Caenorhabditis elegans: one gene and its partner. The protein of the gene in region 1 interacts with the protein of each later gene in a pairwise test. Each region holds a gene or a part of one and is shown on either strand. Other genes may lie near its edges.

Evidence for each region.
Region 2: the proteins of sek-1 (region 1) and hsp-60 interact in a protein complementation assay, tested with the Caenorhabditis elegans proteins (one study listed by BioGRID).

Annotation. Positions count from the first base shown.
Region 1 is NC_003284.9:7,811,125-7,826,152, reverse strand, and holds sek-1 (Dual specificity mitogen-activated protein kinase kinase sek-1), read right to left. Parts: upstream 9,420-15,028; 5' UTR 9,350-9,419; coding exon 9,337-9,349; intron 9,278-9,336; coding exon 9,187-9,277; intron 9,080-9,186; coding exon 8,947-9,079; intron 7,828-8,946; coding exon 7,444-7,827; intron 7,293-7,443; coding exon 7,042-7,292; intron 6,980-7,041; coding exon 6,868-6,979; intron 6,117-6,867; coding exon 6,090-6,116; 3' UTR 5,117-6,089; downstream 1-5,116. Other genes in the region: eef-1A.2 (Elongation factor 1-alpha), read right to left, coding at 886-1,143, 1,193-2,013, 2,164-2,476. UniProt on the Caenorhabditis elegans protein: Dual specificity protein kinase which acts as an essential component of the p38 signal transduction pathway which is also composed of upstream effector nsy-1 and downstream effector pmk-1. May phosphorylate pmk-1.
Region 2 is NC_003281.10:1,615,083-1,631,390, reverse strand, and holds hsp-60 (Chaperonin homolog Hsp-60, mitochondrial), read right to left. Parts: upstream 11,650-16,308; 5' UTR 11,633-11,649; coding exon 11,486-11,632; intron 11,337-11,485; coding exon 11,028-11,336; intron 9,965-11,027; coding exon 9,572-9,964; intron 8,333-9,571; coding exon 7,955-8,332; intron 6,958-7,954; coding exon 6,640-6,957; intron 6,147-6,639; coding exon 5,985-6,146; 3' UTR 5,588-5,984; downstream 1-5,587. Other genes in the region: Y22D7AL.11 (W02B3.4-like N-terminal domain-containing protein), read left to right, coding at 275-384, 436-573; Y22D7AL.4 (Transcription initiation factor TFIID subunit 7), read right to left, coding at 1,311-1,511, 1,827-1,981, 4,620-4,752; Y22D7AL.10 (10 kDa heat shock protein, mitochondrial), read left to right, coding at 12,469-12,495, 12,548-12,661, 13,001-13,120, 13,951-14,016. UniProt on the Caenorhabditis elegans protein: Implicated in mitochondrial protein import and macromolecular assembly. May facilitate the correct folding of imported proteins.

The DNA of each region.
Region 1 (15,028 bases):
CTCTACGATTGATCTCCGACCATTCACGACTTGCTCACCTTTCGTTCATACTTTGCGGAAATAAGTAGTAGCTCCGCTAGTTTAAACAAAAATTGACCTATCGCTGCATCAATCGGAGTGCTCTGTGATGGGCCAATATTTGTCGTCGCTCTTTTTCACCAAACGTCCGACCCTATTTCTCTTTCTACCCTCCACGCTGACCGAGCAGCAATCATCAAATAGTAAATGAAAAGAGCGACTCGTCCAAGGTCATCCACGTTGGTTTGCATGCCAAAACGATGGGGAAGATGCAATCTTATCTGTTCGCATCGTTTGTAGAAATTGCTGGGAGTAAGCAGATTGAGAGACAATCTATTTCATCAGATGACTCAACACAATTGGTTCAATAACAAAATATTTTTTATTTGTGAATATATCGTCAATTATTTGCACACAAACTTTCGAAACAAAACGATGGATGACAGAATGCGACAAAACAATGCATGACATATTAACATAACAGTTTTTAAAGGATTTTTGGAGTGGGAGGATTGGGGGGGGGGGTCGGGGGGAGTCATTAGTGATGATCAAATGGTACAAGTAACTGTATTTATTATTTTTGATGAAGACCGCTTTGTTTTGGGGAAAACATAACGAGCCTTAATAAATACGTAGCGAAGGTTTTTTTGGATGGACGGTTTTTTGAAACAAAAAAGTGTTGCCCAAACACACGACTTTTGTACAAAAGGCTGCGTGGACGAGATGAACAATGAGCACCCATGCTCAAAAAAATTAGAGTTTTGAAAGTTATATTACAAGCTATGGGTGGGAGGGGGTTAACAGGATAACAGATAAGCGAAGGAGTAACATGAGAAGGTTGAATGAAGGAAGCAGTGACCCAAGTGTTTACTTCTTCTTTGGAGCAGCCTTCTGGGCGGACTTGGTGACCTTTCCGGATGATCCATCGGACTTCTCAACAGACTTGATGACTCCGACAGCGACGGTTTGACGCATGTCACGAACGGCGAAACGTCCGAGTGGAGCGTAGTCGGTGAAGGACTCAACGCAAAGTGGCTTGGTTGGGATGAGCTCGACGATTCCAGCATCTCCGGACTTGAGGAATTTTGGGAAGTCCTCAACCTTCTTACCGGTACGACGATCGACCTGTAAAAATGAGGATGAGCTTTGGAAAGTAACTAAATATATTGCTTACCTTCTCCTTAAGCTCGTTGAACTTGCAGGCGATGTGAGCGGTGTGGCAATCAAGAACTGGAGTGTATCCATTGGAGATTTGTCCTGGATGGTTCATGATGATAACCTGAGCGTGGAAGGTACGGGCCTCCTTGGCTGGATCTTGCTTGGAGTCGGAGCAGACGGATCCACGACGGATGTCCTTGACGGAAACGTTCTTGACGTTGAATCCGACGTTGTCTCCTGGGACGGCCTCTGGAAGAGACTCGTGGTGCATCTCGACGGACTTGACTTCAGTGGTCACGTTCTGTGGGGCGAAGGTGACGACCATTCCTGGCTTGATGATTCCGGTCTCAACACGTCCGACTGGGACGGTTCCAATTCCTCCGATCTTGTACACATCCTGGAGTGGAAGACGGAGTGGTCGGTCAGTTGGGCGTTGTGGTGGGATGATGGAGTCAAGAGCCTCGAGGAGGGTCTTTCCGGAAGCGTTTCCTTCCTTGCGTTCAACAGCCCATCCCTTGAACCATGGCATGTTCGAGGAGACCTCAAGCATGTTGTCTCCGTTGAATCCGGAGATTGGGACAAATGGAACAGCCTTTGGATTGTATCCGATCTTCTTGATGAATCCGGAGACCTCGTTGGTGATCTCAGTGAAACGAGCCTCAGAGAATGGTGGCTCGGTGGAGTCCATCTTGTTGCAAGCGACGATGAGCTGCTTGACTCCAAGGGTCTGGGCAAGGAGAGCATGCTCGCGGGTTTGTCCGTTCTTGGAGATTCCGGCCTCGAACTCTCCGGTTCCGCAGGCGACGACCAAAACGGCGCAATCGGCTTGGGAGGTTCCTGCAATATTGTGAAATTAGTGAAATTTGAAATTTTGTGAAATTAGAAGAAATTGTGAAATTCCTAAAATCTGGCCTAAATTTTGGGCTTAAAATTTTGCGAAATATTTCGAAATTTAATCTTATTGCCTGAAATTTGCAATAAACTAACCGGTAATCATGTTCTTGATGAAATCACGATGTCCTGGGGCATCAATAATGGTGATGTAGTACTTGGCAGTCTCGAACTTCCAGAGGGCAATATCGATGGTGATACCACGTTCACGCTCGGCCTTCAGCTTGTCGAGAACCCAGGCGTACTTGAAGGATCCCTTTCCCATTTCTTGAGCTTCCTTCTCGAACTTCTCAATGGTACGCTTGTCGATTCCTCCGCACTTGTAGATCAAGTGTCCAGTGGTGGTGGACTTTCCGGAGTCGACATGTCCGATGACGACAATGTTAATATGGACCTTTTCCTTTCCCATGATGAATTCGTGAAGGTTGGTTACTGAAAATGATAAATTTTAGGATTTCGAACTTTTTAGGCCGGAGCAAATTTTAGAGAATGAGGAAAGGGAGGCTTAAATATGTTTTAGGCTGAGAGATAAATTAGGAAATTGTCGAATGAATTCGAATTCAAATATCCAAAATATTTAGGCCAAAACAGGAGGAAATCCAACGAACGTGATAGGTGTGCGCGTGGAGAACACAAATGGAGGAAAAGAAGAGCCTCCCGGTGTGTTTAGGCCGAGGACGGTGAATTCGGCTGCGTACACACCCCCATTCGCGACGAGACCCGCCTTTGCGTATGTGCCCCTTGTGCTCCGGCCGTCTGCGGTCAGTATTTTTCTGTCGGCTAACCGTCTCGCACTCTCCGAGTTTCGAAATTTTGCGTAATCTCTCTCAATGTGCGAGAGCGCGTGTGTTTGAGCGAGCAGATACGTAATTGGACAGAGACGTCTGTTTACATCGATATGAGTAGATTTTTGAATCTGGTTAGACGGAAAGCGTGCCTAGAACACGAGGCAAAAAAATGTGGAACGCATCAATCGATTTCTTTTAGAGGCACACAAAAATGTGGTGGGGTGGAGTATTCAGAGAAAAATAATATGGCTATGCACATAAAAGTAAGAAACTGAAAATAAATGAAAAGTGTAGAGGGAAATAAGAAATAAGAAGATGAACATGGAAGCTGGGAGCTCATCCAAATCAAAAGCGAGATTGAAAAAAAATGCATATAGAGGATCAATGAAAAGAAAATCAAATCAACAAGAAAATTGAATGAACAGCTATTTGAATATTTGAATTGTTTATGCGACTGAAATAACTAGTTAGGTTGGTTGTGGAATAAGTAGGTTTTGGAAAAGAGCCTGAATTTTAAAAAATGAGTTAGTATCGTAAGTGACTTTTTTTGTTTTAAATGACAAAAACAACTCAATATACCAAAATGCAAAACAATTATAAAGTTATTCTGAATTTTTTTTAATGCATTTTTTCACATTTGCTATTAAATCAAAATGACCGAATCATTTTCGAATTCTCGTGCACATGAATGCCTAGTTTCAAGATTTTTGTTTTTTCTCTTACTTCAATTATTGACTTGAAACACAGTTTTTCAAATATTCAGACATTTTTTTTGCAAAAAAGGTCTTTAAAACGTTGAATTATCGATTTTAGGACAATTTTACAGTTTCGGTGAATTTTTAAATCGAATTTTCATCACGAAGTGCCTGCAATTATGAAAAACATTTGTTTTAATTACAAAATAAACAAAAAACCAAGTAAAAATTGATTAACACAGCCGGAAAACGAAAAAAAAAATGTCAAAACAAGGTCATTCATTTGCGCGGGATATTGGAAGTAATTCTGCCTTATCGAATTTTTTTTTGCAAAATTGAGAAAATCATATAAAATTTATATGCCATATTGAAATTTTTTGTCATTAAGGCGAAAAACGCACAGACAATACCACTTCCTTAAGAACCAGAACGGTTTAGAAATAGGTTTTCCCCAACTTAATCAAATTTACTGTTTTTTCCCTCCTGCTGTAGCTTTCCTTTCGTGAGAAATACAATTATAATGCTGTTAAAATATGATTAAGTAAGAATTCTTGATTTACTGTTTTAATTAATGAAATCCGTGTTTTGATAATTGATCATGTTTCTGTGGTTTATGTATTCTTCATATTTCGTATTTACATATTTTTCAAATCCTCAAAACTGAAAATTTCATGTACCGATTCAAGAAAATTTATTGTTTTTATAATGGTACTGCTCACTTCATGTAGTGAAAACTTTTTGCAACGTCAATTGCAATATTTAGAAAGAAAATTGTTATTATTGAAATTCAAAAAGTTTCAACATGTTTCAAAAAGTTACATCATATATATAAAAACGTATTGTGGCTGCTCATACTCAACCACCGGGAATCTTGTGGCTCGACATCTGTGACCACACTCGTAATTTTATATTTGATAGCTCTGGCAAACCCGGCGTCAACAATCCAGAAAGTTAGTAGCATTTCACTTCTAATGAAAAAATTTTTCTAACAAAGTTTCACGAAAACACTCCAAGGTTTATGTTCAACAAAAATGTATGCTTGATGATTGGGAAAGCTTTGGCAACTTTGCTGTCGGTTGTGTCGGTTGCAATTCTGAAACAAGCATCAGTTGTTTTTAAGAATTTTGCAACTTTAGCAAACTCCGGTGAAAACGATAGAAATAATAGTAAAATAGAAGTCCGTACATGATGTGCCTTAATGAAACAAAACATTTATATTTCTTGGTCTTTTTTGTTTATATTATTTTCCAGATATTTTCAATTTATCAATTATGGCAATTCAAACAAGGAAAATGATATTCACTCGTTCTCTATTTATATATTGGAAAATTTAAAAAACGTTTTTATAAATATCTTGAAAAGCAACCAAAACCAACTATCCCAATCAAGTCGTAGTGTGATTTACTATTGAAAAATTTGAACTAAACTTGCTTTTTCACATTCTTATATTTTTCCTTCCTCTGGTTGCCACATTATTTTATCACTGGCGTCAGTTTTTACATAGCTCTGAAACAGGAAGACATTGCAACATCAATTCACGATATTTAACCGTTATCTGAATTAAAAAAAAATCTTTACTCGAGCAATATAAACCAAAAGAGACTCATATCCTTGATATGGGGTGAGGGAGAAAAGTGGGGGATGGTTGGTGTAATTGAAAACAAAACGTTTAGAAATTTGTAATGTCTGAGTTAGGGGAGAAAACGAACAGAAAAGAAAATGAAACGTGTACGCTGATTTTCTGGGCAAGAACTGTTATAAGGAGAATAAGCGCATAAGACCAGAGAAGAAGAAAAATAGAAAGAAGGATAAGTGATGTTGATTGTTTTCGTTTTTGTAACAGCACATCAATTTATAAATATCATTATTAACCCACAGATGAAACAAATGCGGGAGGAGGGGTGCAATAGAATACATTTTTGATTTCTAGAGTAGAATAATCCATGTTGAATACGAATTTGACATCGAAAATGGCACTGTATATGCAGAGGAAGAAGTTAAACAATTGAAATGAGAAGTCTGATGAGATGAGATAGGAATGACTACTAAAATCATTTAAGAAAACAACTAGGTCATTTCGAGTTTGATTGGAAAATTATGAGCTACCATTTGAAAATAAAAATCACAGATGCTAATAAACTACTTGAACATTTAAACGTAAAAAAAATGTAGAAAAACACCGATGATTGATTATAACTACGAGGAGAAGACACGAAAAAAGAAGCGATAGAGAAAGATTTCCTATAAAATTGAAAATGAAATAAGGATAAGCGGTTGACTCGGAAAGAAACGGTTACCAGAAGCAAAGAAATAATTGGAATCTGAGAGATATATGATATAAACAAAACATAAGAACATAAAATTCAATATTTGACAAAAAGGGAAAAGAAGTGATAATTTATTCCGTCCACGTTGCTGATTATTCAACAAATATCGATGTTCCATTGACGGCCAGCGAGGCGTACAAAAAAACGCTATTCTCAATTTGAGACGTGTCGTACTAGAAAAAGACTTGTTCGCCATTCGGCACACCCGATGCTCATCGTCGCCAAACAGTGTCGAGAATCTGCAATGAATGAATTCAGAAGTTTTTGCAATTTTTCGCAAATCTAGCATAGTTTTTACCTAACTAGGGAACCGTCAGAAGGTGCCCATCGGACCTTAGTAAGATTCAAGATTGTCAGATATAAAACGATTTTCAGATTAAAATACAAAAAATTATAAAAAATAACATTCAGTGGTGCTTTTACTGTAAGTTGGTCCTGCTGGAAACAAACTGTACATGCTAAGTTTTGGTGATGTTTTGAAGTTGATCTATACTTTTCTTTGCTGATGTACCGAACTGATTTTTTGACAACATTTTTTACTCTTCGAAATTTCTCAGAAATAACCTGACTTTTTGATTGTTTTTTTATTGCACTTATTTTGCATTTTTGTTATTTCTTAAAGCAATTTAAGCACACTTCACAAAATTGACATCATTCACCAATTTTCAATTTATTTTAAAGTGTTTAGTTTCTACAATAAAGTGTTTTGTAACAAAATACCGATTTTCACTAAAAGCTATCGTCCAAAAATTTTAACGCTAAACTTGAATTTTTAGACATAGAAAATAAAACTCTTTTGTATTTTAAGGCTTAGGAGGACAATTATACTTAGACAACAATTTTTAAGCCTAAAAATTAAAAATCAATTTCACGTTTCATTTAAATGGAGAAATTAATAAACATTTAATTTAATTTTACCCATTTATTTACAGATTGTTTTTCTCAATTTTTCAGCAAAAAAATTGTCTTTTTGATAGCAGCAAATCTTACCTCATTGATAAACCGAGCCATACTAAATTGCTTCTCATTTCTTGCCTGCTCCATAAACGGCATCGCCAATAATTCCGGATATTTGGGACGTTCATTGTAATCCTTTTCAAGACTGCAATTTGCAAATTTTCATACTCTTCCCAACTCCACACCCAGAAACTCCAAAAAACTCACCATCTCTTGACAAAGTACTGACAATCAACACTAAAACCACTTTCCATCGGCAATTTTGGTGGCGGCTCTTTCACAACCTGTTTCAATTGTTCAAATGGGGTTTTCCAATTTGCGTAGGGATGGGTGCCAACGGCGATTTCAATTATTGTTATACCCAAACTCCATACATCAGCTCTCACATCATAGGCTGACTTAGTCTCTCCATCAATTCTCTCTGGTGGCATGTAAGGTTTGCATCCGGCTTGTACAGTCTGTAAATCGAAACACTATATATATTTTGAAATTTTTCTTCCCGGTCATGATGAAATTGAAAGATAACTCTGATTGGCATGACATCATTCGGCAAATAAAATTGCATTTCATTTTTTTAATAGAGGTCTCATTTTTATCGATTTTCCGTACCTTGGCCATGCTGTTTGTCAAGTGACCTGAAATTCCAAAATCGCAAATCTTGACTTGTCCATGTCGATTTAACAGAATGTTCGACGGTTTCACGTCTCGATGAATCAAATTCAGTTGCTCTTTCATAAAGTTGAGTCCTTCAATGACCGACAGAGCCATTTTCCCAATAAACGGCTCTGGAATGTGTTTGCCAATTTTGTATGCGTGCCGGTAAAATTTGTCCAGCGACGTGTCCATCACTTCCATGCAAATCCAGACATCACCTTCGCGAAACATTGCTCCATAGAACCGTACCATTTGCGGACAGCAATCACTTCTCCTGCACGCGTCTAGCTCGTTGAGCATCTGCTTTTGAGATTGATCGTTGATTGATGATTTGATTCGCTGTAAGAAAATGAAATTTGCTTAGGATCAATTTAAAAGATAAATTCGATTTAGTTTGAAAATTCATTTTTTATTTTTTTCAATACGCGATTTGCTTAAGTCTCGGTTCAAACCAGTAATATTTAATTTATAATTTTTTTTTAGTATTTAAATCTGTAGTTTCGATTAATTTTTATATTGAGAATTTAAATATTCGTGATTTGAAAACATTTTTTGGTCAGATCAGTTTTCCATTTACATGTTGTATTTACTTTAATCTTGAACTTTGCCACAACTACATATGAAGTATTTGCAATATGTTCTAGTGAAAGTTCAACATATGAAATCTATGAAGTGACCTTTTTTATGGAAAATTTCCGCGTCACAGACTGTTCTTATTGTTGGTATGTCCTATTAACATACATATTGATGTACAATCACCTAGTCACTTATTCTAGTGTATGGATGAAAATGAATTTTTGAAATCAGTAAGTATTGATAAATCTCAATACATTCCATAAATGTTTGATATCAAGCTACTTTGAATCTATTTCTCATGTTCCTTTTCAAAAAAAAAAAGATTTTTTTCATCATATCAGAAACGAGTGACCTGCGTTTGAAATCCTATCCTCAAATTCTCATTTCTTCACTTCCATAATTTACCTTTGTTCACGAAAATTTTAATTTATACACCAACTTTTCAAAGGTGACGTGTGGGCGCGTGTGCCGACAGCCAAAAGGCAATCAGTGTGTCGTCTCACACGGCGCCCTTCAAAAAATGGAAATGCTTTCCGTTGGCAATGAAGACTAACTATTATTTTTGCAGTCACACCTAAATTCAATAATCTTCATCTTGCTAACTTGCATTTGCTTTTGAATAACTATTGTATGTGAAAAATGACACGTTGCATTCAAATTAGAATAGTTTTTCCCTAATTAAAGAAAAGTATTTTATGAATATCTTAAATTTATACAAATTGCCTATTTATTAGTGCACCAGCCAAATAGGAATTTGAATTTAGTTACTTTTTGAAAAGTTACGAAAAAATGAAACATTTTTTTGAAAAAACCGCTTTTGGTGAATTACCAAACATATGTACATAGTTAATTTTTTCAAACTGTTCTTGTTGTGATACTCACTTTTACCGCCATAATTATCCCGCTCTGCCTGTGCTGCATTTTCTCCACAATCCCATATCCACCTTTTCCAAGTTCTTCGAGTACGACGAGGTCGGTGGCGGCAATCTCAATCTCTTCGGACTCGTTTGTCAATCTGCATCAATCAAAAATTTCTCATACTTATATTATTATTACATAATTCGCCGCGCCGTCTTTACGTGTTCAATATCAAACCCGACACGGGTATCACCTAATACTTACTTGATAAGACATCTGTCTTCCAGATTCATTGTGGGCGTCTCGACCGGTGTTGGCATCACGATCTTCATGCCCGGCAGCTTGCGCTCACGTCCTACAACAAGTCGAAATTAGATGCTTTGGCAAATTTGAGGTAAATGAGATTTTTCTTACCTTTTCGCTCCATGATGTAAGACTCTAGAGAGACGTTCCGCACCGATCTACATAAATTGTAGAATTCGCCGACCAGCGATCGTCTGCAAAAATTAAATGAGGATAAGGAAAGAGCAAGAGACACGGATTTCAGCAAAAAATACGGTGGGTAAATTTTTCACAAAGCGAAAAATGAGGAAAAATGACAATAAAGAATACAAATGGTGGTTTCGCGGTTTTGTGAACAAAATTTAGAGGTGTCATTCAATCTTTTTTCGAATCTAAATGTAAAATAGATAGTGTTGGTCTTTCGTTACTTATCCATCAATCTGGTCCTTTAATTAAAGATTTGGGAATCACGTTTTTTCCTTCTTTTTTTCTCCTGGCGGAGGGTTCTCAGATTTGATGAATGAGAGTACGAAATTCTGTAGAAAAACGCGGAATAGATCGTTGAAAAATAGAAGAAATAAGAAAAATAGGAATAGGAAAAAAGTGAGGAAAAGATAGAAGAATGAGAAGAGAGCAGAAGCAATTTGGTGAGTAGGAAGCAGAAAAATAGAAAAAGGGAAAAAAGAGGGGCCCCCATTTTCATCCCAGTGAGAAAAAATTAATGTGAAAACAAAGCGAAAAACCGTTGCCCGGGATGTGTTGTCGTAAAAATTCAAATTGAAATCAAGGTGCCAGACCAAAACGAGAACCGAAATCCGTTTTTGTTGGTGTTGTCACTGGGAACCAATAGTAACCTTGGAGCGGGTGCATGAATTTTTATGGGATGTGATGTGAACAAGTGCAACATGGAAGCTGGGGAGGAGGAGCAAGATGGAGCTGCCATGAATAGCTGAGTCATTTATAAAGCAGGGAGAAAACGAAGTGTGAATCATTTAATTGGAGATACTGAATTTGGAAATATCACAAAGAAAAACTCATGGTTCCGCGGGATCTTCTTACTAGTTGCATGACTAACGCAGAAATAAATAATTTCCGTGGGTGGGCGGCAAGTAACTCATATAACATGGGGTTTTTTTTTTCAATTTTCGGAATATTAAATTTTTTAAACTTCAATTTACTATTTTTAGTATACTTTTGCAGTTTTTATCGTTTTATCCTTCATTTCCCCCAAAAAGGGCCCATAAAAACTCGAAAAAAACTGAGCGCTTGATTTATTGTTATTGAGAACTAGAGCAGTGAGTGAGTTAACGGAAGGGAAATACGACGAAAAAAGTATTGGGAGTCAGAACTTATAGTTTTTGTCAAATGTTTTAAGAGAAAAGTGGAAATGAAATTAAGCAGAACATAGATTTAAAAATAGTGAAAAAGTGCAAACGTTTTTTTCGGAAAAAGTGTCGAGAAACCGTTTTTGTGACCAAACACATTTTTGTCATGAAAAGTTGCGAAATTCGCAAGACCACACATTTCAGGAAATCCCGTATGTGTAATGGTCAGATTTTACAAAAATTGCCTGATAGTATAATATTGCGAAACTTTTTTTGTTGAATCATTTAGACGGTGTGGGTTCGCAAATATTTTTGTAAGTATTTCGGGACGCATGTACATTTTTAGTTATTCTTTTAAGTTATAGTGTTCAGTTACAAAAACCTTATAGAACTATACAATTTACTCAATTTTTTGGAAGAAAACCAATTAATTGATAAGATTGCTAAGCCACGAATATGCTTCAGACCCGTTTGCTCTCAACAAGATAATTCGTTGAAATCACCTTTCAAAATGTTGTTGTCTGTTCACAAAAAAATGTTGATCATCGGGGGGGGGGGGGGGGGGGGGGCACTGTGCACGTAAACAAGTGATAAGAAACGACGACAAAAGTTACGCAGGACACCACTATTCCTCCATCTCTCTATCACTTTGCCTCTCTGCATCTCTCTCTCTCTATCTTTCAATGCCGTTTTCTGTTAAATGTTACTTTCTACACTCGCCACTCTCTCTTTCTCTCTTTCTCTCTCTATCTATTTCATCTCATACACACAGACACAATCTTCCATTTGTGGAAAGGTATTGTATATTGTGTCTGCAGTACTTGTATTCTACTAACCTCACCCTAAAAATTGTTCATCATACTTTTTTGCATTCCAGCAAGTAGATGAGTCATATGCAAAACGAGAAAAAAGTAAAAGTATTTAAAAGAGGGGAAAGATATTCGAGACGTTGAAACATAAAATAAGTTATATTTCATGAAAAATTAAAAGTTTCTCAAGCTTCAACAAAGTTAAAAGCTCATGTTTATAAAAAACCAAAAAGGTTTAGAAAATATAAACTGTCTGAAGAGAAAAAATCAAATAAGTAATTGAAAAATATATCTTCGTCTAATAATACTGGTTCAAATAAAATTAAAATATTAATCATCTCAGATAAAAAGGTAAACGCATTGAGCTTTCAACTTAAAAAAAAGGTTAGTAGAAGTGGGAGTTAGCATCTCTGTAAATTTTCTATTTAAAAAAATACCGGGCTTCGAACTATTACTTGGAGAAAACACCAAAAGCTGCAAGCTGAAAGCTAAATAGCTCACACCACAAAATGAATTGAATAAAGTTATCCGACTAATAATTGAATAACCAAGAAGCCGTTAGATTCGAAAACATCATTGCTTTCGTCAGCTTGTCTTAGATGCTTGAAAAACATGAAAGAACGCTTTGGGAGAAGACTTAGTAATTTTTCGGGTGCATAAACTTTCTTCAATTTCTTGAACTTACAGTTCAGAAACATTGGTCAAATTTTTTTAGCAAGTAAAATAAAATGCAATGCTTGCAACAACATGGCCATAAAATAAACTGAAGAAAAAACACATTTTTCTAGACATTGGTTAGGCCTGTCAGAGGTTTATTGTGAGAGAACGTGATATATGTACATGGGGGAAAATTATGTCGCGGATTAGGTTGGAGTGCGTTTGCGCACCTATCATTAATGAGAGCTTCTTGCTTTTTTGTTTAAGTACAATGTTCAAAAATCAAATTTCCACTTTTCTAGGAATGCTTAGGGAACAATCAAATAAAGGTTCAATAAAAAAAAAAATAAAAATTTAAAAAAAACAATAAATGATTAAAGTAGAATACGCTTCACAACTATATATTAAGTTTTAAAAAGCTAGCAACACTACTCATTTAAAATGCAACTAAAAAATGCGAATTATTCTAGTCGTACACTGGTTTCAAGAAACTTGAAGAAGAACACAAGTTCCTTAAATGTTATTTCAAATAAACATAGGGACTCAACCTAAAATGTTGGTAAAGGTTAGAAAGTATAAAATGAGCTTTTAGATTTTTGAAAACTTTAAACCCAAAATTTGGTAAATTGATAATTTACAAAACATTTGGACTTTTGAAAAAGTTTTGATACAAATGTTTGTGATATATTAAGATTATAAAAATCTTTAAAAAACCCGTCTCTTCAGTAGACTTTCAAAAATATAAATCGCATCTTGTCGAAATCTCAAAAAAATCGCCCAACCCAATAATTTAGAAAAAGTGGGCGTAAATAAAAGAGAAATTACAACCTTTTCTGGACAGCTGGGAAGAACATAAATTGAGAGCTTGAAAATGGTCATTATTCGGGCAAAAAAGTGGTTCTGTTTGGTTAGCTGTGCGGATAGACAGACAAAAAGGCAAGTGTGTATGTGGAAAAGGTCCAAGTGTGGCGCAGACGTCTCTCATGTCCCACATCTAAAGAAATCCTCATCTCAAAGGTCTCTCAGTTATTTTTAGAAGGGGCAGAAGGTCCGGAGTGGAGAACGACAAGGGAGGTTTCTGTGAGGGACTGACGGACATGGATGCAGGAAAAGCAAAGACACATTGAATGAAAGGCGAAAGTAAAAAATGGAGAAAGAGAAAAAAAAGATGGGGGTCGATTGAACATGTACACATTTTTCCTACATTCCTTTTTTTTCTTTTATTTTATTTTTTCTCATCCGGTTTCACCATCTCATCTCATTTTCTTTTTCGTTTACTTCTTATTCTCATTGACGCATGTGAGGAGCAAGGAGAACGTGAGGATGATGTGAATGATCAATCCAGTTAGGAAGGGAGCGCAGAGGTGGGAATATCAAGGATTACTGCGAATTGGGCAATGACAGCCTACAGAGACAATCATCACGTTTTGAATTAAATTCTGATGTGACCCAGGCTCAATGAGTTGAACAATAATGAAGAAGTCTAGACAAAATGTAATAACTTCAACAATAGAAAAGAAAACAATTGTGAGTAGACTTAAAAGTTCATTGTAAATACAAAAACCTAAATGTGACTGAAACTTCAAACCGATCACAAGTTCATAACAACTGTTTTTATTGCGAATTTCAGAAAACGCTTGAAACAAAGAAAAATGTTTTTCAAATTTTCAGTGCTCTTGCTAAATATTTGAACAAAAATGCATATTCTCCCTTTTCGCCTATTTCGTCGACGTTGCAAACTGATAAAACCCCTGATGTTCAGATTATTCGTATCAAAGCGTTCTTTTGATTTACAAAACTGATCAGTTGTCTGTCCAGCATAGTGGTTTACCATGGGTGAAACTAAACATATTTTGCACATCAGTGGAAGGGCTCGAGATCATTGAGCATAATCCAATTAAGGTATTGAAAATCAAGAGATCACAGAACACTCATAAGTTTCTAGCATGCTCTTAGAATGTGCATATCTATGCGACAGCATATAAAAATATTTGGACAAAACGAAATGTGGTTAATGAAAACGTTTTTCTCTTTGGTAGAATGCTCCGTGTATGGAGGGAAAAAAGAGAACAAACTCCAATTTTTCTACAAATTGATAAGGAAATATTTTTGATGGTTGAGTAGAATCAAGAAAGGAGACAACCATAACAGCCAACTAGCAGCACACCTACGACACACACAAGAATAGCGTTTGGGTCGTCGCACTCATCGGAGCAAAATGGATAAGCACAAAAAGTTTCGAAAAATGGCAAAGGCCAGAAAAACAAAGGCGTAGTAAAAGAAGCCACCGGAAATATTAGTTTTGTTTGTGTATAAATGACATTTTGGCACCGCAATGCCATAGTGGGTGTGGGTGTGAAGTGGACACAATGGATAAGAGTTCTTCCCACACATGTGTAAACGTTGTTTTGCTGGAAACGTAGTATATTTTAAACTATATTCAATGTCAAAAGGAAAATCAAATTTGACGGTGGAGCAGCGCCAGTGGGAAAGTTCTTAAAAGCCAAAATACCTAAATGATATAGTAAAATGTTTCAAAGAATTCTCAGTTCAAAAATTACAAGATCTAGCACACAATGAAACAAAATAAGACAGGACGATCTCAAAAAAGATATAAGACCATTAATACTGCCGACGTGACTTCTGCCAAGAAATTTCAATTTCATGACCGCGTGGAAAAAAAGGTAGACACTTGTTAATGATGACATAAAAAGCAAAAATCGGTCGGATCTCTTTTGAGGGATTTCCAGGAGAAAAGAGCTGAAAATCTTCACCAACACACGCCATCACAAAGACTTTGATAGAAACAGGAACATCATTTGAACACTGAATGAACAAAGATCGAATGGGGAAAAATGAGAGAAATATGAGAGAAATAGTTGTATTATGTTGTATAAGTGTTGTATAAGTTGTATAAGTTGTATTATGCTTTCACATTCACTTCTTAGAAAAGCCCAACGGATTGACGTAGGTTGCTTTTTTCTCTCCATCTCTCTATTTCTTCTTCCTTCTTTGGCAGACAGGAGACGGATG
Region 2 (16,308 bases), on another chromosome or scaffold:
CCTATTGCTAGCCTACCTATTATGTTCTAACCTAGTTGCCTGCCTATGACATTTGGAATAAAGTTTAAAATTAGATATTTCGTTAGAAAATTGTGTTCTTAACATGTTTGCGGTTAGAAATACCTACCCTACCTACCTACCTACCTACCTACCTACCTACCTACCTACCTACCTACCTACCTACCTACCTACCTACCTACCTACCTACCTACCTACCTACCTATCTATCTATCTACCTACCTACCTACCTACCTACCTACCAACCTAATTCCAGCTGATGGTTCAAAATACAAGTACATCTACCCACCATACGATCCGTGGTGTTCCGCTGACCTACTCGGACACATTTTTTGGGTGACCTGTACCCCGGAGGCAAAGGTTACGGTAAGTTCCCGCCTACGTGCCTACCTATGCCTACTTTCATCAATTTTTTAGCTAGAATACGGTCCCAACTGGCATTTGGATCAAAATTCGCTGAATTACGCGTGGAATGCTGCCCGGAATAGTGTGCCAAACGGGCGGTTTACAGAAAAACAGATGAAAAATGAAGTTTATAATATTTATAGGTTGTGATATATACAAATTTCGAATAAATTTGTTGAAAATTAGATATTCCGATAGAAAATTGTATTCTGAACATTTTTGTAGTTGGAAATTTTTTTTAATCTCTACTCCCCGCGGAGCTATGCCGCTTCAAAGTTTGAACGGCGAGAAAAATGTGGAGGCGCAGACAGCTAGAGCGCTCTCGCCGCCTGCGTCTCTCCCTCTCTCGTCGCTCAAACTTTGAAGCGGTGTATCTCCGCGGGGAGTAGAGATATCAGAAAACTTCAATAAAGAAAAAAGTTTAGAATTTTTAGTTTTATACATTTACAATGTTGTTTTTTCCAAAAAATAAAAATAAACATTTATTAATTTTTTTTTTACTGTTTGGAAAAAACAACATTGTAAATGAATAAAACTTAAAATTCTAACCATTTTTCCTTATTGAAGTTTTTTGATAACTCCACTCCCCGCGGAGCTATGCCGCTTCAAAGTTTGAGCGGCGAGAGAGGGGAGGCGCTGACAGCTAGAGCGCTCTCGCCGCCTGCGTCTCCCCCTCTCTCGTCGATCAAACTTTGAAGCGGTGTATCTCCGCGGGGAGTAGAGATATCAGAAAACCTAACAAAGGAAAAATGCTTAGAATTTTTAGTTTTATTCAGTCATTAAGTTTTTTTTGCAATTTTCAGATTTTTTTTTTTTTTCAAATTCCAAAATTTTTTTTTAATTCCAAAAAAATTTGGATTTTTTCAAATATTCTACTAAAACCATACCTGAACACCCTTCTCCACCACTTTTCTTAATTTTTCTCTCTCTGTCTGCGTCTGCTCATCCCTCGTCGGTGCCACCACCTCCGGTTTCTCGGCTCTCTCGGCAACCGGATCTTCGATTAGAATTGTGCATTTTAGGGTAATATGATCGGTGGGGTCGTTGATGTTATACACTTTTGCGGTGCCGGAAATTGAGAGGTTTTGCTGGAATTTTGGGAAATATTGATTTTTTTTGAAAAAAAATTTTTTTTTTTTTGAATTTGAAAATTTTGGCCTAAAAAAATTGTTTTTTAATATCGCTTTTCAGGTTTTTCCCGAAAAAAATCAATAATTTCTTCCATATATATATAAATTCCGACATTTTTTACTGAATAATTGATTTTTAGGAGGATTTTTTAATTTTCGAAAAAATTCAGAAAAAAAATTTGACATTTAAAAAAAAAAAAATTTTCAGAATTTTTTTTTCGATTTTTGCTTAATTTTTAACAAAATCAAGAAACTTTTTTACTAAAAAATTACATTAGGCTCCGCCCCCTTATCGCCAGGCTCCGCCCCATTTATGTCCAAAATTCCGGCGTAAATGTGCCCATTTGTACGGATTTCGACCTCAAATTCGGGTTTTTCAAACCACGTGGATTCAAGTAAAACTGGAAATTTTAGGCCATTTGGGAGTTCTGAAAATTAGAGATTTGAGAAAATAAAAATTTTTGATTTTTTTTTGGAATTTTTTTGAAATTTTTTTTTCAAGAATTTTTTTTTCAAAAAGGGATTGGTTTTGAAAACTGATCATAAATTTGAATTCTCCTTATTCTCAGCATTCAAATGACACCCATCATGCCTATATTCCGCCAACTTTCACAAAATGTGGGTCCCGCCACGAAAATAGCCGGTTACTGTAGCTTCAATTTCGTGGCGGGACCCAAAATTTGTGAAAGTTGGCGGAATAAAGGCGTGATGTGTGTCAAATTAAAGCTAATAGTGGGGAGAATTCGAAATTAAGGATAGTTTTGAAAATTTTTGAAAATTAGAAAAAAAAATCTTGAAAACTTCAATTTTTTGCATTATTTTTTTCTGAAAACTTTATTATTTCTAAAAACTAAATGAAAATTCGAATTCTATTCACTTCCAGCTTCAATTGAGGCCCCATATTGCCTATATTCCGCCAACTTTCCTAAAATTTGGGTCCCGCCACGAAAATAGTGGGTTACTGTAGCTTCAATTTCGTGGTGGGACCCAAATTTTCCGAAATTGCCAGATTCCAGCCAATAAAGGTGTTAAATTGAAGCTGAAAGTGAGGAAAATTCGAAATTGAAAATATTTTTGGGAAATTTTGAAAATTGGAAAAAAACATCTGGAAAACTTCAATTTTTTGCATGTTTTTTTTTTTGAAAATTTCATTATTTCTAAAAATTATGTATAAATTTGAATTCTCCTCACTTTCAGCTTCAATTTAAGCCCCATATTGCCTATATTCTGTCAACTTTCACAAAATTTGGGTCCCGACACGAAAATCACCGGTTACTGTAGCTTCAATTTCGTGGTGGGACCCAAAATTTGACGAATTGACGGAATTAAGGCAATATGGAGGTCAGATTGAAGCTAAAAATGAGGAAAATTCAAAATTGAAGATATTTTTGGGAAATTTTGAAAATTGGAAAAAAACATCTGGAAAACTTCAATTTTTTGCATGTTTTTTTTTTGAAAATTTCATTATTTCTAAAAATTATGTATAAATTTGAATTCGCCTCATTTTTAGCTTCAATTTGACACCCATCATGCCTACATTCCGCCAACTTTCCTAAAATTTGGGTCCCGCCACGAAAATACCCGGTTACTGTAGTTGGAGTTTTCGTGGTGGGACCCGAAATTGTTCAAAATTGACCGGAATTAAGGCAATATGGGCGTCAAATTGAAGCTTAAAGTGAGGAGAATTCAAAATCAAAGATATTTTTGAAAAGTTTCAAAAATTGAAAAAAAAATGTTTCATAATTTTTTTTTCTTTTGAAAACTTCATTAATTCTAAAAATTAAACGAAAAATTGAATTTTTCTCATTTTCAGCTTTAAAATAACATCATGCCTATATTCCGCCAACTTTCACAAAATGTGGGTCCCGCCACGAAAATAGCCGGTTACTGTAGCTTCAATTTCGTGGCGGGACCCAAGATGTTCAAAATTGACCGGAATGAAGGCAATATGGGGGTCAAATTGAAGCTTAAGGTGAGGAGAATTCGAAATTAGGGATATTTTTGAAGAATTTGAAAAATTGCAAAAAAAAAATTCCGGTAAACTTCAATTTTTTCTGAAAACTTCTTCATTTCGAAAAACTAAGTAGAAAATCGAATTCTCCTCATTTTTAGCTTTAAAAAAACACCCATATTGCCTATATTCCGCCGATTTTCACAAGTTTTGGGTCCCACCACGAAAATAGTGGGTTACTGTAGCTTAAATTTCGCGGCGAGACCCCAAATTTTGTGAAATTTGGCGGAATATAGGCATGATGGGGGTCATTTGAAAGCTAAAAGTGAGGAGAATTCAAAAATAAATAAATTTTAGTACGAATTTCGAAAATTGGAAAAAAAATATCCGAAAAAAAATTGTTTCGAAATTTTTTTTTTTCTGAAAACTTTCTTATTTCTAAGACCCAAGTGAAAATTTGAATTCTCCTCACTTTCAGCTTCAATTTAAGCCCCATATTGCCTATATTCCGCCAACTTTCACAAAATTTGGGTCCCGACACGAAAATCACCGGTTACTGTAGCTTCAATTTCGTGGTGGGACCCAAAATTTTCAAAATTGACGGAATTAAGGCAATATGGAGGTCAGATTGAAGATCAAAAATGAGGAGAATTCGAAATTAAAGATATTTTTGAAAATTTGGAAAATTGGAAAAAAATTTCCAAAAAAAAAACACTTTTTTTGGAATTTTTTTTGAAAACTTTTTTTTTCTAAAAACTAAATGAAAATTCGACTTCTTCTCACTTTCAGCTTCAAAATGACCCCCATCATGCCTAGTTTCTGACAAATTTGTAATTTTTGGGTCCCATCACGAAAATAGTGGGTTACTGTAGCTCCATTTTCGTGGTGGGACCCAAAATTTTCAAAATTGACGGAATTAAGGCAATATGGGCGTCAAATTGAAGCCAAAAGTGAGGAGAATCTAATTTTTATCTTAATTCGCCAACTTTCACAAAATTTGGGTCCCGCCACGAAATTGAGGCTACAGTAACCGGTGATTTTCGTGTCGGGACCCAAATTTTCCGAAATTGCCAGATTCAAGCCAATAAAGGTGACAAATTGAAGCTAAAAATCACCATTTTTCAAAAAATCGCCCATTTTCAGCATCTCATAGTGCTCAAGTTTCAGAAAAACTGAAAATCGCTGAAAAATGTCGAAAATCTCGATTTCCTCCATTATAAAGTAGACATTTCGTATGGTTCCGCTCATTTTTTTGCTGGAAAATTCAAATTTTCCGGAAAATTACAAGTTTTTGGCCAAAAATTCAAACTTTTAAGAAAATTCTAAAAAATTTTGGCTTAAAAAAATTAAAAATTTCAAATTTACAGGAAAATTCCAATTTTTTCGGCTCAAAAATTCGAATATTCTGGTAAAATTCAAAATTGTCAGGAAATTTTCAAATTTTACGCTTAAAAATTTTTGAATTTTCAGTGAAAAACCCATTTTTTGGCCAAAAAATTCGAAATCTCAAGAAATAACCCAAATTTTTGGCTGAAAAAATCTTTAAAAAAAAAGAAAAAAAAAGAAAAATTTGAATTTGAGGGTTAAAAAGTTCAAATTTTCGGCTCAAAAATGGCATTTTCTTGAAAAATCCAAATTTTTTGGCTAAAAATTCAAATTTTCAAGAAAAATTGAATTTTATACTTAAAAAATTAAATTTTTGGCAAAAAAATTCGAATAGTTAAAAAAAATTTAATTTTTTTGTTGAAAAAATCGATTTTTCACCAAAAATCCAAATTTTAAGCTTAAAAATTTAAATTTTTCAGAAAAATTCAAAAATTGGCTGAAAAATTCGAATTTTCAATAAAAATCAAAATTTTCTGGCTAAATAACTTGAAATTTCAAAACATGCAAAATTTTAGCTTAAAAAAATCCGATTTTCAAAGAAAATTATAGTTTTTAGCTCAAAAATTCGAATTTTCCAGGTAAAAAATCCAAATGTTCGTGAGAAAAAGCTGCTGCAGAGAGCCGCCACCTGTAACCATGGCGACCTCCCTCACAGCAAAAAGCGGAAATGTGTGCAGGTGGGGGGTACTACTCGTCTATACAAATATAATTTATAAATGTGATATTATATAGAGAAAAACGGGGTGGGGAGGAGAGTGAAAACAAAGAAAAAAACGGAAAAAAAAAACAAGGAGATTCTATATATTATACTCTAAAAACAAGGGGAAAAACACTAAACTAAAAAAAATTGAGGTCCTAAAATTGCGAAAAAATTAAAAAAAAAAACACCATTGAAAAGTTATCATCAAAAAAAGGGGAAAAAGAGCCGTAAAACAAGAAAAAAACAAATGGCTCAGAGCACAAAAGATCATAATTTTTTTGGGGAAATTTTTGGGGAAAAAATGATGGGAAAAACGACAAAATTGAGCAAAAACCAGTGTTTTAGAGAGAAAATCAATCCATCGGTGTCGTTATTTCAATGAGAGATTGAGAGCTTAGAATCCCATTCCTCCCATACCGCCCATTCCACCCATTCCACCCATTCCACCGGCTGGTCCACCAACTGCTTCTTCCTTTGGAATTTCGGTGACTACGCATTCGGTTGTGGCGAGAAGTGAGGCGACTCCTGAAGCATCTTGGAGAGCTGTGCGAACCACCTGGAAATTTGGAAAATTGCGGTTTTTGGGGAGATTTTTTTTTGCATAAAAATTTTCGATTTTTCTTGAAATGTTGAATTTTCAGGGTTTTTTTTTCCAAAAAAAAAAAAAAGACGGCCAGAAGCAATTTTTTTCCATTTTTTGACCAATTTTTGAACTACTTTCAAATAATTTCTGCTGAAAAACTCCAATTTTTGGCTGAAAAATTTAAATTTTCACGTAAAATCCAAATTTTCCGCCTGAAAACTTCAAATTTTCAAGAAAATTCCTAATTTTTGGCTTAAAAATGAAAATTTTCAGTGAAATAATGCAATTTTTGGCTAAAACATTAAAATTTTGGAGGAAAATCCAAATTTTTGGCTCAAAAATTCAAATTTTCACGAAAAATTCAAATTTTTTGGCTAAAAATTCAAATTTTGGAGGTAAATCCAAAATTTTTGTCTCAAAAATTCAAATTTTCACGAAAAATTCAAATTTTTGACGCTGTATATACCTTAGTTGGATCGATAATTCCAGCCTCGAACATGTCAACGAACTTTCCGTTGAGCGCATCATAACCATATGATGTATTGCTGTTTCCGGTGACTTCATCAATAATCGACGATGGCTCAAGACCGGCATTTTTGACGATTGTGGCGATTGGCTGAGTGAGAGCCTTCTTGACGATATTCACACCGATCTGTTGATCCTCGTTGGCTGCTTTGTAGTTTTTGAGTGCTGTCAGAGATCTGAGAAGAGCAACACCTCCTCCTGGAACGATTCCTTCTTCGACAGCGGCACGCGTGGCACACAGAGCATCGGTGACACGGTCCTGTAATGAAAAAAAAATTGATGAAAAATCATACAAAAAATTGCAGAAAACCGATAAAATCTGGTGGAAATCAAGATTTTTCCGCGCAGGAAAACCAAAATTTCTGCTATTTTTGAGCATGCTCAGCGGGAAAAATCAATTTAACAGTTTTTTCCGCGTTTTTTTATCAATTTTTTCAGTTGAAATTGCGAAAAAAACAGTTATTTTCGGCTTCTAACAACAAAATTTTAAGTGGCAATTGCGAAAAATTTCGGCTAGAAAGTTCGAATTTTAAGAAACATCCATATTTTTGGCTGAAAATATCAAATTTTCAGGGAAAATCCAATTTTTTGGCTGAAAATATCAAATTTTTAAGGAAAATGCAAAATTTTGTCTGAAAAATTCAAATTGGCAAAATAGCCATTTTTTCGAACCAAAAATCGGCTGGAAATTGCTAAAATCGCAAATTTTAATGTTTTCCGGCAGAAATCTGTAGTTTACACGGCAAAATCAAGCTGAAAATGATCGACTAAAAAATTCTAACTTTCAAGAAAAATCCAAATTTTTGGCTGAAAAAATCAAATTTTCAAGAAAAATTCAAATTTTTGGCTGAAAAATTCAGATTTTTGGCTAAAAAAATTCAAATTTGTAAGAAAAAGTCAGATTGTTTAAATAAAAATTTAAATTTTCAAGAAAAATCTGCAGATTTAGTGGGTTTCTTTCACAAAAATGGGGGAATTTACCATAAATTTTACTCGAAAGGAGCACAAAGAGAATCTTGCGTTTTGTTGCAAATAAAAATAAAAAACTGAGTTTTAACGAGTTTCCAATGGCACAAACGGCACAAAAAAGGTTTTAAAATCAGGTTTCTCGACAAAAATCTGGTAGAAATTGAGGTTTTTTTAAACCAATTTTCTGCTAAAAAAAGCTCAAAAATGAACGGATTTTGATCATTTTCCCACGGAAAATAGCCAGTTTTTCTTCAATTTTTCTCCAATTTCAGCCAAATTCCGCACACCTTCTTCTCTCCAACTTCAACTTCAGATCCTCCTCCAATCTTGAGCACAGCGACTCCCTTGCTCAACTTGGCGAGACGCTCATTAAGCTTCTCCTTCTCGTAATCGCTCGTCGATTGCTCAATTTCATCGGTGATGTGCTCGATTCGCTTCTCGATCTCTGTTTGATCTCCACGCCCGCGAAGAAGAAGAGTATCGTCCTTGGTGATGGTGACCTCATCGACTTCTCCGAGATCGTTGGCTGTGATATCCTCGATCTTAATGAGATTCGAGTCATCTCCAAAGATCGTTGCTCCCGTCGCAATTCCCATATCCTTGAGCGTGTTCTTGCGGTTATCTCCGAATCCTGGAGCCTTGATTGCGACGACTTGAAGTCCGACCTGGAAGAGAAAATTCTGCGGTTTTACAGGGTTTTTAGTGAAAAATTAGTTTTTTTTTAAACTTAAAATCGTGGAAAATGATGGAGTTTAGAGGTTTTTCAGTGAAAATATGTATTTTTTAGCAAAAATAGCAAAAATAGACTTTCTCAGAAGTCAATGCGCACTTTTTCACTGATAAAAATGGAAAATTATGTAGAATACTGAATAAATCCGACCTGGAAGAAAATTCTGCGGTTTTAAAGGTTTTTCAGTGTAAAACACATTAATTAACTTTAATTTAGCGCGATTTTCAGGTGAAATCTTCATGTTTTTGGAGAAAATCCAGGAAATTATGAAATTTCCTGGCGATTTTCTTGCTGAATCCCTAGTTTCTTCTGCTTTTTTTCTATTTTCTTGCCGTAAAATTTGTAAAACTCTCTCAACTGATAAGAAAAAGAAGATATATTATCATTCTCTAATCAAGGTCGCTCGTATTTTGTTGCGAGTAGCCTCCTGCTGCTAACAAACATCACTGATCAAAAAATGCTCGCGGTTCTTTGAACTTGAATTTTCTGATAAAAATTCAAGTTTTCTAGGCTAAAAACGTGAATTTCCGGGGATTTTTTGGACGAATACAAAATTTTTGCAGCATTTTTAGCCATTTTTCAGTCGAAATTGGCAAAAAAACACATTTTTTCGAACCAAAAATCGGGATATTAAAAGTTTTTAATGCCAAAATAAGTAATTTCCGGCAGAAATCTGTAGTTTCCAAAAGTTTGTAAAATCAAGCTGAAACTGATCCGAAAAACAGTAATTTTCGGCTTTTAAACGAATTTTTCAGTCGAAATTGCGAAAAATTTTGGCTGGAAAGTTCGAATTTCAAGAAGAATCAAAATTTTTGGGTGGAAAATTCAACATTTCAGGAGAAATCCAAATTCTTGGCTGAAAAATTGAAGTTTTCAAGAAAAATCCAAATTTTTGGCTGAAAAATTCAAAATTTCAGGGAAAATCCAAATTCCTGGCTGAAAAATTCAAAATTTCAAGAGAAATCCAAATTCCTGGCTGAAAATTTCGAATTTTGTACTTTTTTTTCGTATTTGGGGGTAAACTAATCAAGAAAACGTCGGGTTTCAGCAAATTTCGCATTTTTCTCCGTATTTGGGGGCAATAATCGAAATAACGCGAATTTCCGTCAAAAAATGGAGTTTCAACGCTGGTTTTCGACAAAATTTGCAGTTTTTCGCTTCTTGTCGTCTGTACCTTAAGTCTATTAAGAACAAGAGTGGTAAGAGCCTCTCCATCAACATCCTCGGCAATGATAACCAATGGACGGCGGAGCTTGTTGGCGAGCTCAAGAGCCGGCACAATATCCTGAACTTGGCTGATCTTCTTCTCGCTCAACAAGACAAGAGCCTTCTCGTACTCGACTTTAGCTCCTTTCGCAGAGGTGATAAAGTACGGCGAGATGTATCCTCTGTCGAACTTCATTCCCTCGATAAGCTCGAGCTCATCGTTCAGCGTTTTTCCGTCCTTAACAGTGATGACTCCAGTGGTTCCGACCTTCTTCATGGCGTCACTGATGAGATTTCCGACGACGGTGTCTCCATTGGCGGAAATTGTGGCGACTTGAGCGATCTCTTCGGGGGTGGTGACCTGCAGGAACAAGTTTTTTTTAGTTAAATTATTGCTAAATTTAGTTTTTTTTCTGATTTTTTAGGTTTCTAGGCGCGATTTTTGGTTTAAAACAAGTAAAAATTCAGGTATATCGAGCAAATATAGTCAGAAATAGTCGCGATTTCCCTACAAATCTGTGAATTTTTGGCCATTTTTTCGGGATATTAGGGCTTTTTCATTCAAACAACAAGCTTTTCGTCCTGAATTGGGTAAAAAATAGTGGCTTTTCAAGGTTTTTCAGGGCAAATCAGTGAAATTTTGTCAGCTTTCCGGATTTTTAAGGTTTTTCCGTCAAACAAAATAAGATTTTCGTTCTGAATTGGGTAAAAATTGCGGGGTTTCTATGGATTTTGGCCAAAAATTCGATATTTTCAGCTTTTCAGGCCAACATTGAATGAATACCGCTTCAAAATTGGATCAGAGCTCACAACTGTTTGAAAAAACACGAAATTTTGCAAATTTTCCGGGATATTAGGTGCTTTCGTCCTGAATTGGGGAAAATTGCGGGTTTTTATTGATTTTGGCCAAAAATTCGATATTTTCAGCTTTTCAGGCCAACATTGAATGAAAAATTGCATCAGAGCTGCCAATTGTTCCAAAAAGCACCACATTTTGGCGAACTTTTTGAATTTTCAAGGTTTTTCGAGACAAATCAGTGAAAATTTGTAATTTTTCGGGAATATTCGGGTTTTTCCGTCAAACAATAAGCTTTTCGTCCTGAGTAGGGGAAAAATGACGGTTTTTCAAGATTTTCAGAGCAAATCAGTGAAATTTTGTCAGTTTTCCGGAATATGAAGGTTTTTCCGTCGAACAAATAAGCTTTATGGCCCGAATTGGGAAAAAATGACGGTTTTTTGAAGATTTTGAATTCCTGGCAACTGATTTTAGCCACAAATTCGCGATTTTCAAGCAGATTTGAGCGAAATTCTAGTTTTTCCTCTAACATCAAATGAAAATCGCTTCAAAATTGGGTCAAAAATCCCAATTTTTCCAAAAATCACTGTGGCTTTTGAATTTAAATCCACAATTTCCCGGTATTAACCTTCTTGGAGATCTTCTTGAGCTCTGCAACGACGACTTCGACGGCGTTCATGACTCCACGACGGATCTCGACAGCGTTTCCGCCTTGACGAATGCTCTCGAATCCCTCTTTGGCGATGGCTCTGGCGAGAACTGTGGCGCAGGTGGTTCCGTCTCCAGCCTCCTCATTAGCCTTGTTGGCGACATCTTGAATGAGCTTGGCTCCCAGGTTCTGGTATTTGTCCTTGAGGTCGATGGATTTCGCGACGGTGACTCCGTCCTTTGTGATCTTTGGGCTTCCCCACGACTGCTCGATGATCACGTTTCTTCCCTGAAAGAGTTTGGAGTTTTAGAGGCTGTATTTATGAAGAAAAAAAAATTAAATTTTGCATTAAACCGGAAGTTTTGTGTATAAAAATACGTTAAAATAGATTTTTTTACAGCATTTTTTCCTCAATTTTCACATCAAAATCCCCGTACTTTTGGGCCCATAGTGACAGAGACGGCGTCGGCGAGCAGGTTGACTCCGACGAGCATGGCCTGTCGTCCTTCGGCTCCGAACTTGACGTCCTTGGCGTAAGATCTGACGACGGCGGTCTGAAGTCCCTTTCTGGCGAGGCGAAGCATCTTTTGTGTCTGAAAAACTACGAAAATTGTGTGAAAATCTGCAGCGGAAAGGCGAAAATGCGAGCAAAATCAGAGTTTCTCATCGAAAATGAAGCGAGAAGCCTTGCATTATCGTCTGAGAAGCAGAAAAGGAGTGAAAAATAACGAGAATGGATGAGAAATCGGCTGGGAAAACGGTAAAACAGATATTTCCCCTAATTTAGACGATAAATGGCCTATAAATAAGCATTTTTCAATCGTTTTTTATGAAAATGAAGCGAGAAGCCTTGCATTATCGTCTGGGAAGCAGGTAATGACTGAAAAATACAGGAATAAATGAGAAAATAGCTGGGAAAACTGTAGAATAGTTTTTTCCCCTAATTTCGACGAAAAATGGCCCAAAAATAAGCATTTTTCAATGGTTTCTGATGAAAATAGAAGCAAAAAACCTCAATTTTTCGTTCAAAATATGAAAAATGAGAGAAAAATAACGAAAATGACGCAAATTTTGATGTAAAATGGCTAATTTACATCAGAATAGACTTTTGCATCATTTCACTCGCTCCGCCCAGTTTTGCAAGGTGCGCACACTTTTCTAGGTGGAGCTGAGCGCGCTGATTGGCTGAATTTGCGGCGCGGTGTCTGCCATTGGCCCGACACGCCTAGATTTGCAAGTTTGCCGCACGAGATTTTTCGCGCCGCACATTTATTTTCTGCTTTTTTTCTCGAAGCTTCTTTTGGTTTTTTGATCATTTTCTGAATTTTCGCGGGTTTCTTCGGGTTTTTTCGTTGTTTTCATGTAATTTCCCGCTAAAAATAAATTTTAAAACTCAAAAAACCAATTTTTCAGCCGAAAAATGTTCCTCACCGCTGTCCGCCGATCGGTAAGCTATTTTCCCGGTGTTTTCTCCGAATTAAACGCGTATTTTTTTGCAGAGCAATGTCCTCAAGACCTTCAAGCCACTCTATGATCGTGTGCTCGTCGAGAGAGTCGCCGCCGAGACCAAGACAAAGGGAGGAATCATGCTCCCGGAGAAGTCACAGGGAAAAGTGAGCAATTTTTGGCCTAAAAATTGATTTTTCAGGTGAAAACTGATAAATTTCAACGTCTTGGAGCAGATTTCTAGCACAAAAATGCCAATTTCACCGTCAAAATGGTGCAACTTGGCGTCTAAAACACAGTTTCTAGCTAAAAACCTTCAATTTTATACGAAAAATGTTAATTTTCACCGAAAATTCCGTAAAGTCTGGTGTAATGATGCAATTATCGATTTTCCCTGCCAACACGCTCTCCGACTGCTCGCGGAGGTTTTTGTCCAATTTTTATCCGAAATTACCGAATTTTCACTCAAATTAAAGCAATTTCCACCTAATTTTCGAATATTTCAGGTCCTTGAAGCCACCGTCGTCTCTGCCGGAGCCGGACTTCGCAACGAGAAGGGAGAGCTCGTCGCATTGACTGTGAAGCCAGGAGATCGTGTCCTTCTCCCAGAATACGGAGGCACCAAGGTACAAAATGCGACGAATTTCGAGCGAAAATATGGATTAATTGGCGAATTTTTAATGTGAAAATCTGAATTTCCGTTGAAATTTCACACAATTTGGACGAAAATCGGGATTTTTTTTAACATTTCAGTGTAAAAGTAGCGTTATATTACTGAAAAGTCATTGAAATCAACGAAAATTGCACAAAAATTGTGTTTTTTCAGCCGAAATCCAAGATTTTTTCAGAAAAATCAGGAAAAATTGTATTAAAATACGATTTTTCCCCCAAAAACTGAATATCACGCGCTTTTCGCTCTAAATTATTGGGGAAATACCTTTAATATAGTACATTTACGCTAAAACCCAACGAAAATTGCACAAAATTTGCCGATTTTCACCGGAAATCTAGCATTTTCTCTGTAAAAATTCATTTTTATGAACGAATTTCGAGAAAAACTGAATTAAAGTACGATTTTTACGCCAAAAAACTGAATTTCATGGGTTTTTCGCTCTAAATTATTAGGAAAAAACCTGAAAATCAGTTTATTTTCGCTGAAAATCCACAAAAAGTGCCGATTTTCACCGGAAATCTAGCATTTTCTTTGAAAAAATCCCAAATTTCCTTCGTTTTTTAAGGAAAAACTAGGTTAAAATATGATTTTTACGCCAAAAAAACTGAATTTCAGGCGGTAAAATGTCAGTTTTTTCCAGTGAAATATAGTTTTAGGCCAAAATTTTGACAAAATACCTGAAAATTAATTAATTTTTTGCTTACAGACCGCGAAAATTGCGCAAAAACATATTTTTTCGACCGATTTTCGCAGGAAATCCCAACAATTTTTCCCCAATTTCAGGTCGTCGTCGAGGACAAGGAATACTCAATCTTCCGCGAGTCTGATCTTCTCGGAGTCTTCCATTAAATTATCTTCCATATGGCTTTCGGTCTCACAAATCTTCATTCAATTATTCCCCTCTCTCTCTCTCTCTGTTTATTTAATTTTTTAATTTCAATTTTTTGAGTTTAGATTTTAGGAAATTCCTCTTTTTTGTTGAAAAAATCGATTGTTATAGTTCCTTTTTTCCTTGATTTTTCGCCGGTATTGTTTTTCTTTTTTTTCGATTTTAAATAATGATTTTTCAGATTTTTCTTGTTCTCTGGCCACAGACAATGTTTTCGATGTGACAGGGCGAACCGAGAAAAGCTCAATGTGGCTTGGAGAACCGGAAAAAACAAACGGCGTACTTAAAAGACACGGCAGTGGTCGAACCTTTTCAAGCTCTGAGCTATTTTTTAACCGTTTTTAAATATTTTTAGCGCTTTTCTGCAATTTTTTGAAAAATTTTGAATTGCCGCCAATTTAATTTGTTCGATGGAGCGCGCTTGCATTATTTTACTGATTTTTTTTCGGTTTTTTGGAAATTGAATTTCCCGTCAAAAAGATCCAAAAATAAACTAAAATGATGCAAGCGCGCTCCATCGAACATCTTGAACTCTTGGCGGTAATTCGAATTGGAACGCAAACTGAGGATTTTCCTTCCAATTTTCAACAAAAAAAAACATTTTTTTTGGGGTACGGTAGCTTCAAAAGAACGCAAACACCGCAGTGCTTACGACAAAATGCAGAATTTCTCAATTTTTTGTAAAAATCACATGCCTATGGGTAAAATGAGGTGCTGAATCTGAATTTGTTAGTTAAAATTCATAAAACTAAAGTTGAAATGTCAAAAAATGAGTTTTTATGACTTTATCGTCAGGAAAATTGTATTAAAATTCATTTTTGCAGATTTTCATGTAAAAATTTGAAATCTTCGTGACATTTCACCCTAGAAAAACCTTTTTGTGAGTTTGCAGTGCAAATATTGAACATTTTGGGGTACGGTAGCTTCAAAAGTACGCAAACACCGCAGTTTTTACGACAAAATGCAGAATTTCTCACTTTTTTGTAAAAACCATGTGCCTAGGGGTAAAATGGGGTGCTGAATCTGAATTTGTTAGTTAAAAGTCTTGAAACTGAAGTTGAAAAGTCAAAAAATGAGTTTTTATGCTTTATCCTCAGGAAAACTGAATTAAAATTCATTTTTGCTGATTTTTATGTCAAAGTTCGAAATCCTCGTTAAATTTCACCCATAAAACCTTTTTTGTGAGTTCTCAGCGCAAGAATTAATGTTGCTGATTTTCATGTAGAAATTCAAATTTATCGATAAATTTCACCTTGGTAACCATTATTTTGAGTTTGCAGTAAAAAATGCGGGAGTTGAGACGCAGATTCACATTTTTCTGGGCGAAAAATTCCCGCATTTTTTGTAGATCAAACCGTAATGGGACAGCTTGGCGCCAACATTCCTAGTTCCAAGGTGGCCAATTATTGGAAATTTTCAGCTATCCCACTGCCATCGGCTTGATTTCTTCTGGAAAGCTTGACCTCTCTGGACTATATCCAAAGCCTATTACAAGCTCAAATTGCCGATTTGCCGGAAATTTTCAATTCCGGCAAATCGCCGGTTTGCCGATTTTAGAGGAAAATTTCAATTCCGGCAATTTGCCCATTTGCATATTTGCCAGAATTTTTCAATTCCGCCAGTTTGCCGATTTTCCGGAAATTTTCAATTCCGGCAAATTGTCGATTTGCCGGAAATTTTCAATTCCGGCAAATCGCCGGTTTGCCGATTTTAGAGGAAATTTTCAATTCCGGCAATTTGCCGATTTGCATATTTGCCAGAATTTTTCAATTCCGCCAGTTTGCCGATTTGCCGGAAATTTTCAATTCCGGCAAATCGCCGGTTTGCCGATTTTAGAGGAAATTTTCAATTCCGGCAATTTGCCGATTTGCATATTTGCCAGAATTTTTCAATTCCGCCAGTTTGCCGATTTTCCGGAAATTTTCAATTCCGGCAAATCGCCGGTTTGCCGATTTTAGAGGAAATTTTCAATTCCGGCAATTTGCCCATTTGCATATTTGCCAGAATTTTTCAATTCCGCCAGTTTGCCGATTTTCCGGAAATTTTCAATTCCGGCAAATCGCCGGTTTGCCGATTTTAGAGGAAATTTTCAATTCCGGCAATTTGCCGATTTGCCGGAAATTTTCAATTCCGGCAATTTGCTGATTTGCCGGAAATTTTCAATTCCGGCAAATTGTCGATTTGCCGGAAATTTTCAAAAATTTTGAAAAATAAGTTTTTTGGAAAAAAATTATTTGAAAAAAATTTTTTTT